3 linked regions of the Macaca mulatta genome follow. The protein of the gene in region 1 interacts with the protein of each later gene in a biochemical or structural test. Links are inferred from orthologs where the notes say so. Each region holds a gene or a part of one and is shown on either strand. Other genes may lie near its edges.

Evidence for each region.
Region 2: the proteins of RUFY1 (region 1) and RAB4A form a complex in vitro, tested with the Homo sapiens proteins (2 studies listed by BioGRID). The link is inferred for Macaca mulatta from reciprocal best matches to the Homo sapiens genes RUFY1 and RAB4A.
Region 3: the proteins of RUFY1 (region 1) and RAB14 form a complex in vitro, tested with the Homo sapiens proteins (2 studies listed by BioGRID). The link is inferred for Macaca mulatta from reciprocal best matches to the Homo sapiens genes RUFY1 and RAB14.

The regions. Positions count from the first base shown.
Region 1 is NC_133411.1:188,502,389-188,506,772, reverse strand, and holds the start of RUFY1 (RUN and FYVE domain-containing protein 1), read right to left. Parts: upstream 2,870-4,384; 5' UTR 2,856-2,869; coding exon 2,558-2,855; intron 1-2,557. UniProt on the Homo sapiens protein: Activating adapter involved in cargo sorting from early/recycling endosomes. Regulates retrieval of proteins from endosomes to the trans-Golgi network through interaction with the dynein-dynactin complex.
Region 2 is NC_133406.1:19,742,808-19,746,671, reverse strand, and holds the end of RAB4A (ras-related protein Rab-4A), read left to right. Parts: intron 1-641; coding exon 642-757; 3' UTR 758-778; intron 779-1,600; 3' UTR 1,601-3,332; downstream 3,333-3,864. UniProt on the Homo sapiens protein: The small GTPases Rab are key regulators of intracellular membrane trafficking, from the formation of transport vesicles to their fusion with membranes.
Region 3 is NC_133420.1:37,020,812-37,023,761, forward strand, and holds the end of RAB14 (ras-related protein Rab-14), read left to right. Parts: intron 1-131; coding exon 132-309; 3' UTR 310-2,426; downstream 2,427-2,950.

The sequences.
Region 1 (4,384 bases):
GGAAAACAGGTATTTTTCAAATATGCATTTGTTCAGCAAACACTTACTATTCTGTACCAGGTACTGACACATTTATCTTTTTGTTTCCTTGATTCTGCATTAAAGGAAAGAAATTCTGGCTGGGCGCGGTGGCTTATGCCTGTAATCCCAGCACTTTGGGAGGCCGAGACGGATGGATCACGAGGTCAGGAGATCGAGACCATCCTGGCTAACACGGTGAAACCCCGTCTCTACTAAAATACAAAAAAAATTAGCTGGGCGCAGTGGTGGGCGCCTGTAGTCCCAGCTACTCGGGAGGCTGAGGCAGGAGAATGGCGTGAACCTGGGAGGTGGAGCTTACAGTGAGCCGAGATCGCGCCACTGCACTCCAGCCTGGGCGACAGAGCGAGACTCCGTCTCAAAAAAAAAAAAAAAGGAAAGAAATTCTATCAGGGAAGAACTAACATTTATTATTTGCTTACTCCTGCCACGAAATATCTAAGAGGCCTCCAGGGGATGCCATGCCTTGACTTTCAGTATTGACTGTCAATGAGTATGCAATTCAGCATCCACTGATGTGTGGAAATCTCCGGAAAAGGTGTCAAGCTAGAGGGAAGTAGATTTCCGGGCTGCACAGGCTCGCATCACCCTCTAATACTACTTTCCACTGCCAGGATCTCAAAACCAGTCAGCCTTTCAACTTTACTCATTAATCATTCTTTTTTTTTTTTTTTTTTTGAGACCGAGTCTGGCTCTGTGGCCCAGGCTGGAGTGCAGTGGCGCGATCTCAGCTCACTGCAAGCTCCAGCTCCCGGGTTCACGCCATTCTCCTGCCTCAGCCTCCTGAGTAGCTGGGGCTACAGGCGCCTGCCACCACGCCCGGCTAATTTTTTGTATTTTTAGTAGAGATGGGGTTTCACCTTGTTCGCCAGGATGGTCTCGATCTCCCGACCTCATGATCCGCCCGTCTCGGCCTCCCAAAGTGCTGGGATTACAGGCTTGAGCCACCGCGCCCGGCCTATTAATCATTCTTGACCATTGCAAATCTCACAATTCACTACCTGGGGTCAGTGCGTCTACAGCAAAGGTACCAGTGGATGGGGAGGAATCAGGAGGCCTTAAGGGTGTGCTATGATGCTCCTTGGAAGGCACCACCACCTTTCCTCAGCTCTGTCCCAGCATTTTCTATGAAGTTGGCGATGTTCTATGCTGTGCTCTCTCATACAGTAGCCACTGGCTACACACAGGCTACTGAGCACTTAAAACGTGGCCGCTGTAATCGAGGAACTCACTTTTGTTTTTGTTTTTTTTTGAGACGGAGTCTCGCTCTGTCACGCAGGCTGGAGTGCAGTGGCGCGATCTCGGCTCACTGCAACCTCCGCCTCCCGGGTTCAAGCGATTCTCCTGCCTCAGCCTCCTGAGTAACTGCGACTACAGGTGCATGCCACCTCGCCCAGCCAATTTTTTGTATTTTTAGTAGAGACGGGGTTTCACCGTGTTGGCCAAGATGGTCTCGATCTCTTCACCTCGTGATCCGCCCGCCTCGGCCTCCCAAAGTGCTAGGATTACAGGCGTGAACCACCGCTCCCGGCCGAGGAACTCATTTTTAATTCAATTTAAAAGTACTCAATTTCAATTTGATTCAGTTAGAAATTGAGGAATTCGGCTGCGGGCGGTGGCTCAAGCCTGTAGTCCCAGCATTTTGGGAGGCCGAGGCAGGTGTATCACGAAGTCAGGAGTTCAAGACCAGCCTTGCCAAGGTGGTGAAACCCCGTTTCTACCAAAAATACGGGGCCGGGAGGTGGCTCACGCCGAGCATGGTGGTGGGCGCCTGTAGTCCCAGCTACTCGGGAGGCTGAGGCGGGAGCACAGCTTGAACCCAGGAGGCAGGGGTTGCAGTGAGCCGAGATCACACCACTGCACTCCAGCCTGGGCGACAGAGCAAGACTCGGTCTCAAAAAATAAATAAAAACAAAAAAGAAAAACACACACAAACATACGCGTGCTGCTGTATTGGATAGCACAGCTCTGGATGTCTGGCGTTGGAGGGCTAAGTTAAAATCTTACTATCACTGATATGCTGGCACTTTATTCATTACAAGGGCTGAAAAGTCTTTCAGAGATCATCCGGTGACTTTAAAATCCCCATCTCACAGGCAGGGGTGAGCGGAGGCGCCGCTGGTCCGCTGCGCGCAGGGCCCACGCCCTCCCGACACCCGCCAGCGCTCCACTCCCGCACTGAGCGGCTGAAAAGCAGAACCTTGCTGGCTCCGTGCCGTGGGTGGAGTTACTACAGAGTTTCGAAGCCCGGACGCGCACACGTCCTTCACCTAGTTAGTGGGAAAGCGCAGAGGCGCGGGAGCGGGAGCGCGCTCAGGCACGCGGGGCCGCGGGGGGCGGTCTCGGCTGGGCCGCCGGAGTAGAGACCCACGCGCAGCCAGGCGCCGTCCGCCGGCCAACAGCTCGCGTAACCTCCCCGACCGGCCGGCGCCCTCCCAGCCCGGCCCCCACCGCGCCCGCGCCAGCGGCCAGCGGGGACACGCGGGTCCGCCGCGGGACAGACCCGGCCCGAGCCTACCTGCGCGCGCCGTGCCGTCCCCGCTGTCCCCGCCGCCCAGCCCCGCGGCCGCGCGCAGCGCGCTCCCGCAGCTCGCCGACAGGTTCCCGGTGGCCCTGCGTGCCAGGGTCAGGATGGGCGCCGACCAGCCCTCCGCCGCCCGCGGCCTCGTTGCGCTCCGCAGGTCGCCCGGGCTGGGCAGCTGGCTTCGGTCCACGATCTCAAACTCTTCTCCCGGCTCCAGCTCTGACCCAGGCCCCGGCCCCAGCCCCGGCTCCAGCTCCCGCCCAGCAGTGCAGCCGCCTTCCCTGTCGGCCATCTTGACCGTGTCACGTGACCCAGCGGGGTGGGCGCGGCCGGGCGCCGCCTTTCCCTTCGGTAGGCGAGATTTTTCTTCCTTTTCACCGCCCGCCTCGCCTTCCTGCAGCTTCGAAAGGTTCGGGAAGGTCCAATAACATAAAAACTGCGTATTCCCTGCCGCCGGCAGGACGTGTTCGCGGGGAAGTTCCTCTTGAACTTTCTCCCAGGACCGTTGTGCCCCCTGCGGCGCTTCGCGGGGTCCCGTGGCCGTCGTTTTCTTTGTGACACCATTTCCTCTTTTAAATTTTCATTTCATGTTCTGTGTTTTCCACTTCGTCATTTTTCTGCAGCACTCATCAGAACAAGCCCCGAAAGGGCAACTAAGGAAACGCACAGGCGAGGCAGGAAAGCGGGATTTTTTTTTTTTTAAATAAATGTGACGGCTTGGCAAGAAAGAGTGCACGATAGTGGACCGGAAATCAGAGCTGGCTTCTCCTATTAGTTAAGTGGGATAACAAAAAGCTGACCTCATTATTAACTAAGTTTGCAGTAAGGACCACATGGCAGATGTCAACGATTGTGACTACTATCTCTAGTATCCAACTATGTGGCCCGGCTAAGTCACTATACACTCAGTCTGTTTCCTCACTTGGAAAAGAAGGGGATTTTACTAAATACAAAGGAAAATTTTGACCAGCTTGGCCAACAGGAGGAAACCCCATCTCTACTAAAATACCAAAAAAAAAAAAAAAGGCCGGACGTTGTGGCGGGGCAGCTGCACTCCTAGCTCCCTGGGGGGCTGAGAATGGGAGGATCGCTTGAGCCCAGGAGGTCGAGCCCATAGTGAGCGGAGATCCTGGCCGCTACACTCCAGGCTGGGCGACAAAGTGAGACCCTGTCTCAAAAAAAACACTAAAATTTCACTAGCACTGAACACTTTGCAAAGTGAGGCAACATGAGCCACACCAAACCAGCAGAACTGTTTTGATTGCCAGAATGTTTAAAAATCTTAAAAGTTGTTGCCGATATGTAGAAATCAAAAGATTTCACATAAGAATATGGAGTTTAGCTTTCTCTGGAATCACTGGAAGGTTTGGTAAGTCATGGTATATTCCCTGATGGCAACAAATTTGGGAATGAACTGTGCTGCCCCTTTAGAAGCCCACCTGCTCCCTGGACCTGTCTTGGTCCAGCCCAGTTCACTAGGTTGCATGGTATGTCTGTTCCCTGAAAGACCAGTTCTCAGTGAAGAGATACCACTTCATCTAGGAGTGTTTTGGGAATTTGTGGAATGGCACAATCTCAGCTCACTGCAACTTCTGCCTCCCAGTTCAAGCGATTCTCCAGCCTCAGCCCGTAAGCTGGGACTACAGTCATCTGCCGCCACACTCGGAATTTTTGTATTTTTAGTAGAGACAGGGTTTTGCCATGTTGACCAGGCTGGTCTCAAACTCCTAGCCTCAAGTGATCCGCCCACCTCAGCCTCCCAAAGTGCTAGGATTGCAGGTGTCAGCCACCATGCCTGGCCAGTGAAATCATTTTCTGAAT
Region 2 (3,864 bases), on another chromosome or scaffold:
CAGTCTACTTTGGACATCTGGGTTGTTGCCAGTATTTTGCTATTATAAGTAATGTTACAGTAAATACTTTTATATATATATATATATTTTTTTTTTTTTCGTGTGCATGAGTCTGTGTGTCAGACAGATACGCAGAAGTGGAATTGCTGGGTCAGAGAACATAAGCATTTGGGATCTTGGTGTAGAGGTGGTCACATTTTCTCCTAGTGATGGGCTTATTTCACTAAAGCCATGTCCACAGCGTGTAGTATCATCATACTTGGACTTTTGGCCCATCCGATAAGTGAAAAATTGTATCTTTGTAATTTAATTTTAAATTATTTTATATAAATAATATATTCACATAATTTGAAATTCAAGAAGTATAAAAGAGTATGCAGTGGAAAGTCCCGCTGTTACCACCCCCTCCCGTCCCCGGCCATCTAGAACTCCTCCGAATCAGCCGTTCCTTATGTATCGTGCTAGAGACGTTTTGTGCCGGTGCAAGCAAACATGTAAATTGTTTTTTCCTCTTTATTCAGAGTGGTGGGATATATACACAGGGTTCCGTACTTTGCTTTTTTTTTTTTTTTTTTTTAATCTATTTTTGGGATCTCAGAAACATAAAACTTTTTTTTAAAGAAGACTTGCTTGGTCCTTAGGTGAGCTGGACCCAGAAAGAATGGGCTCGGGTATTCAGTACGGAGATGCTGCCTTGAGACAGCTGAGGTCACCCCGGCGCGCACAGGCCCCGAATGCTCAGGAGTGTGGTTGTTAGGAGCCATGGGAGAGCGCACAGGTGGGTTCGGACACCTCACTGCCCTGAGTTCCTGACAAGCTGAAGTGCAGAGGCCTGTGAAAGCTTTGGGAAGCTGCAGTATGAAAAATAGAGGATCCCAGCCAGGTCCAGTGGCTCTAATTCCAGCACTGTGGGAGGCTGAGGTGGGCCAGTCGCTTTAGTTCAGGAGTTTGAGACCAGCCTAGGCATCATGGTGAAACACCATCTCTACAAAATACAAAAAATTAGCCAGGCATAGTGGCATGCACCTGTAGTCCCAGCTACTCATGAAACTTAGGAGAATTGCTTGAGCCTGGGAGGCAGAGGTTGCAGTAAGCCAAGATCGCACCACTGCACTCCAGCCTAGGTGATAAAGTGAGACAGTCTCAGGAAAAAAAAAAAAAAAAAGAGAAGGAGACTATCCCATAAGTTAAAGTTGGATGTTCTAACTGAAAGAATTTACACCCTATAGGAAATTCTCATGTTCTTGTTCAGAAAGAAAGGAAGGGCAGGTGGTGGTTGACGGGAGAGGGTGAGATATCCTGATTCCTTATGTCAGTGAGGAGCCTTTCCTGGATTGAGTGAGGTCTAAAGGAATGTGCCTTTTGCTAAAACAGGAGACTCATTTATGAAATTGACAAATGTCTCCCTTTAACTTTTTAAAGCTTCTTCTTTTTTCCCATTTACCACAGTGGACGTTTTATTTATAGTCGACATCATGTAGTAGACACAGACAAGTATTGAAAGACGAGATATTCACAAATTCTCTTTTAGGCTTTAAGCTGTATTTACTTTTGCATTTATAATTGTGCAGATTTTGACATTGTTCTTATTATTTTTTAGGTGTTCATACAGTGGCATTTGGGACACAATCGTTGGAACCTGAAGAACCTGAAGTTTTTTTACCACCATCCTTTTCTACTCTATATGGAAGTAGATCTTTATGGGGAAAAGAGAATTTGGGGTGTTCTGCAAGCTGGTCAAAGTGGCACAGCAAATCATATAAATCGAATTAAATGGACAACACCGTTAGATGTGTATGTAAAAATTTTCTGTTTCATATTTTCCCTTTCACTTTCGGTTTAAAACATGCTATAAACATGCTATAAACATGCTATGTACTGTATGTCCTGTAGCCCAGTGCGGCTCCGCAGCATGGAATCTGATGTATGATATGATAGAATGTGGCACTAAATGCAGTTTCAGATTTTATTTTTTTTAATCATATGAACTAAAATTGTCAGTTGTGAGGTGTGCTCTTCTCATCATGTTGGTTATATTGCACAATTGGTTATATTTATGACCTGATATTCAAAGACTCTGGCATTGATAGCCAGTGTGTTTCTTATTTAATTCTGTTTACTACATTCTACATGGTGTTTACGTGATCCACACTTGAAATACTAGATCAGTAGACATTCACTAACATACCAAAAAAAATAAAATGAAAAATGGAGTTTTTCCGTGAACTTTATACTGTTCAGCTCTGTTGATTTTAAAGCCTCTTCATCCAGGTCAGTTCAGGAAGTATATCTGGAGTACCTGCTCTGTTTTAGGCTATGAGACTAGCACTAAGGATTCTGGTACCTTTACGCAAACCTACCGGGCTACTAACACTTCTCTCAGCGGTGGATAAAATACAATAGACCATGCAAGCTAGGGCCGCTCATCCATTTCCAGTTTGCTGGTCTGTCTGGTCTCCCTGCTAGAAAACACATTGTTTGTACTGTGCTTTTTCTGGAATTCAGTAGAATGGCATCACTGCCTGTTTTTCATATCTTTTGTTTCCTGTTCATTTTAAGGAAACCTGCTAAATCCAGTTAATATGAAAAGGACACCACTCATTAAGAAATTTCTTTATGGCTTCTGCTGAATACTTAAATGCCTTACTACAGTTATCAAGTTGACATGTTTTTAATTCATATAAGGTATATTGGGTATATTGAAGTATATATTGTATTACAAAGACTTGTTCTTATATTTTAAAATGTCAGTGCAAAAAATATATGGTGGAACCTTTCTTTAAAGTTGAAATACAGTATTATTTAAGTCTGAAAGGTTAAAAAGCTTTCTTCACCTTATATATGTTCTTCCACTGTGACTTTTTAGTTGAAGACTAGTAAATTAACTTTTAGTTAGAAGATGCCTACTGCTTTTGTTGTTTATTTTAATCAGCAGAGCACAGAGACACACAAAAACTCTGGGAAGTAACTAGGATAAAAATACCAGTATGTATCTGTTTTAGATATTTTGAGTTTTGCTTTTTTTATGCCTTGAATATTTTATTTCAAAAAGTATCTGAAGCAAATTCTTAGACTGAACTACTTCTTAGACCTCACTGTAAGAATGTTTTATTCAATGTCTCATTTATGATAGATTTGCAAGCTGCTCATTTTTGAACAGCTTTTTGCATGGGATAGGAGCATGTCTATTCTAACACATTAGCTTATTCAAAAGCAAGAATTTTAAAAATAAGATAAATGTAAAGTTGTTTTATAAACGATCCTGTTAATTAACCTACAGACACCATATATCCTTCTGCATCCTTTGACCAATAAAAGTTGCTGGAGAACCAAACCATGGTGGTTCTTAATCAGGCTTTGCCTTTAGGGAGAATGAGGAGGGGAGATAATTCGGTATTGTTCAGGCTAGTAATAAATGTTATGTTTCTATTTCCCGTAACTCATTAAGTTTTCAGGAAGCTCTTAATTTAGATTTCTAGGAAAGTAATTATTCAGTCTTCCTAGAAAAAGATTATAAAGACCATTTAAACTGGAGATCGTAATTTATTCTTTTACAGTCCAGCATTTAAGTAAAAATGAGAACATCACAATTTGGGAATGTGTAATGGTTTTGTTGAAAACATTACTTGTGGCTTGTATAAGACTTGCTGAATTCAAGAACATTGATTCCTAGCAGATCAATAATAGTATTTAAAGAATCTGATGCTAAAATTAGAAACCTAAATGATCTGTAATTTGTACTGTGACACAGCAGATGATGTTTCCTTATTTTCTGTCATCTTTTTATGTTTTTGGAGAGGCAAATTAGAGGTGCTTTAAAAAAACCCGTGAATTTTTAATGTTTTGTGGTGCCATTTGTGAAGC
Region 3 (2,950 bases), on another chromosome or scaffold:
TTACTAGATGACAATGGTTAAGTTGAAGACATCATGGCAGTTAACTAAAGATTAACAAAAGGTCAGTATATAATGTCTTGTCTTTTGTAGAAAACTGTGGTTCTCCAATAAAGTTATCAATTGCCTCTTAGGGGAGAGAATGTAGAAGATGCCTTCCTTGAGGCTGCCAAGAAAATATATCAGAACATTCAGGATGGAAGCTTGGATCTGAATGCTGCTGAGTCTGGTGTACAACACAAACCTTCAGCCCCGCAGGGAGGCCGGCTAACCAGTGAACCCCAACCCCAGAGAGAAGGCTGTGGCTGCTAGTGACCTCTTTGCCGTGGCCCCTCATTTGACCTTTCACCTCTGTCTGTTGAAAGCAGTACTTTTTACTGCCTCATTGTCTTCTGTACATCTTACTGGGTTTAATTAAAAAAAAAGAAAAAACAAAAATCTGTTGTAAAAACAGTTTAACACAATACTAAACTGCTAAACAACTAGATGTAATCAGGTTATCAAAGGCAAGTAGAGTAATAAATCTCTCCTGCATGGTAAATCTAGACTTTTTTTCCCCCTTGTCCTCGTGATAAGTATGTCACCAATATATGATTTAAACTGAGCACTGATGCTGGACTTCATGATTTTTTACCCTCCCTCTTTGGCAAGGCTTTGTCTCACTGTACGGTTTAATTTGATGATATCTTAAGCCTTTCTACCCATCCTTAACTGTTCAAGTATGTCTGTTGTAACCAATAAGTTTATTGCTGTGAAATGACTTCTGATGGTAGAGAAGGGGTTCTATAACTGCTTTTGTTTTGTTTTGGATAAATTTCCTGTTGTGTGGGTGGCATTTTTCTTGACGAGGTTTGCTTCTCTCTTAGCCTCGCACAGGGAAAATATCCATTTATCTTATCTCTCGTGCTTAATTAATAGCTTTATCTTTTTTTATACCATTTTATCCTTTTCTCTTTAACAGAAAGTAAATATGTATAAAATTTGAAGGAATCGAACTAACAATACATTCTGTGTATATTATTTTAATGAAGAAAATAAATTGATTACTGGCATTGGAACAGTATAAAATACCAGTTTGTACAGTATGACCTATATGTGACCATGTTACTCCCTTCCATTTCACACAAAGAAATAGACACACTGCAGTTCACAAGTAGTACTGGCTCCACCCCTTGGTGCTGGCAGTGTTTGGGGACATTATGCTGGAAAAAGCTCCTAGCATCAGAGGATTAACACTAGCAGATTCTGTTCCATCTTTGCACTGTTGCTTACCTGCTGATTTTCTTAACTGTTCTTGTGCAATCGACAATGTGCTAACCTGCTTTTCTCTTTTTGTAAACGTTTTTGCATTACAGGCTGCATTCTTGCCTTACTGTATAGGAAAAGAAAAAAGGCTGGGTTTATTATTGCACATTTTAAGCTTTTATACCTTTATCTTCTTGGAATGGTCAGATTCTGAACTGGACAGTCAGAACCACAGGTCTGCTGTTAAGGGATTTTAAATTGTGCATTTTTAACACTACAGTGAAATAAGATATCCCTGTGTTCATAGTATGAGGGGCTGTTTTATGTCATGTTGGCATAAATTGTTTCATAAAAGGGAAAGTGTTTCTAAAGGTGTTTCAGTGCTTGTGCTGATACAAAGTAAGTTATTACTTTGCACTAGGTGGTTTGGCCACTGAATTAATACTGTATAGCAAGAGAAACAATCTTATTCCTTTGTACAACAAACATGTTTAAGTTCTTCATTTCTGTTGATTTTTCTTACTGTGTTTGATTCAGTGGCTGGGAATTGAGAGTTTATTTGAAGTAGAATAGGTAACACCTCAGCGCACTATAGAAAATGCACTCAGCTCAACTGCTGTGTTTAAAATACACATTTTAAATCCCTCTTTACAGACACTAACATAAAAGTACATCTTTTTGGGTTGTAAACATGTGGTAGTACCAGAGTATTGTATAGTCAATGTTAAATAAAAGCCAAAACTGGAATGTGCAGAAAATAGGCTTTGGTTAATTTGTGGATTCATTTTTATTTTTGTCTTTAACTTTTTAAAAAATAGGATTTCTGGAGTAGATTGGTATGTTCTGTTAAAGACTACAGTGATCCATTTTGCTTACACTGTTGCATCACAAGGGATTCACCCAGGGACCATGACCTGCTGGTGTGTGTGTATATTTACAAAAACAAAACAAACAAACCACCCATTGGGATATAAGGTGGCAATCACAAACGAAAGACTGCGGCTTGTTGAGGTGCAATACCCTGACTCCCAAAGTTAGTTACAGTGGGTTTTATTGTTTTTGTGACCGAAGGATTTATTCAGACTGCTGTACTCTTCATTTGATGTAACAAAATGCTATTAATCTAAATATTTGTAAATAAAGTACCTGTATCTAGATTAAAGTTGGTTGCATTATTTTCTGAACTATAATAGGGTTTATTTTCTTCAGGTGAACAAGTTGATGTGTCATCAGTTTTTATTGCAGCACTGTCTGTATTTGTTGTATAAAGAGAGGTCTACATATGTAGCATATAAAACCACATCACTAATAGAGCCACAGTTTTATTCTTGTGTTTGCATCACCCTTGAAATGTTTTCAGTCAACCATTTTCAGTGTAAGATCAGCACATTTGCTGGCTGATGCTGTTCTCCCTTGACTGTACTGGGAGCCAGATTCTATCATACGCATGTGTAATCCCCTGTAATAAACTCGGGTGCTCACAAATAGAGCAGACTGTCATATTGTAACATGTGTGTGCCAGACACTGGGCAGTACACTTTGGAAAGAATGTGAAATCCTTTTAATTTTTAATCCATAGCTTACTGCTTGTGCAGTCACCTGCTTCTCGAGGTTACTCATTGCCCTTGGACCTGTGAGGAGGCCCTCAGATTAGTAATTGGTGCTTAGTACTATTTACACTTAAATAGATGTTTCAGTACAATGTTCA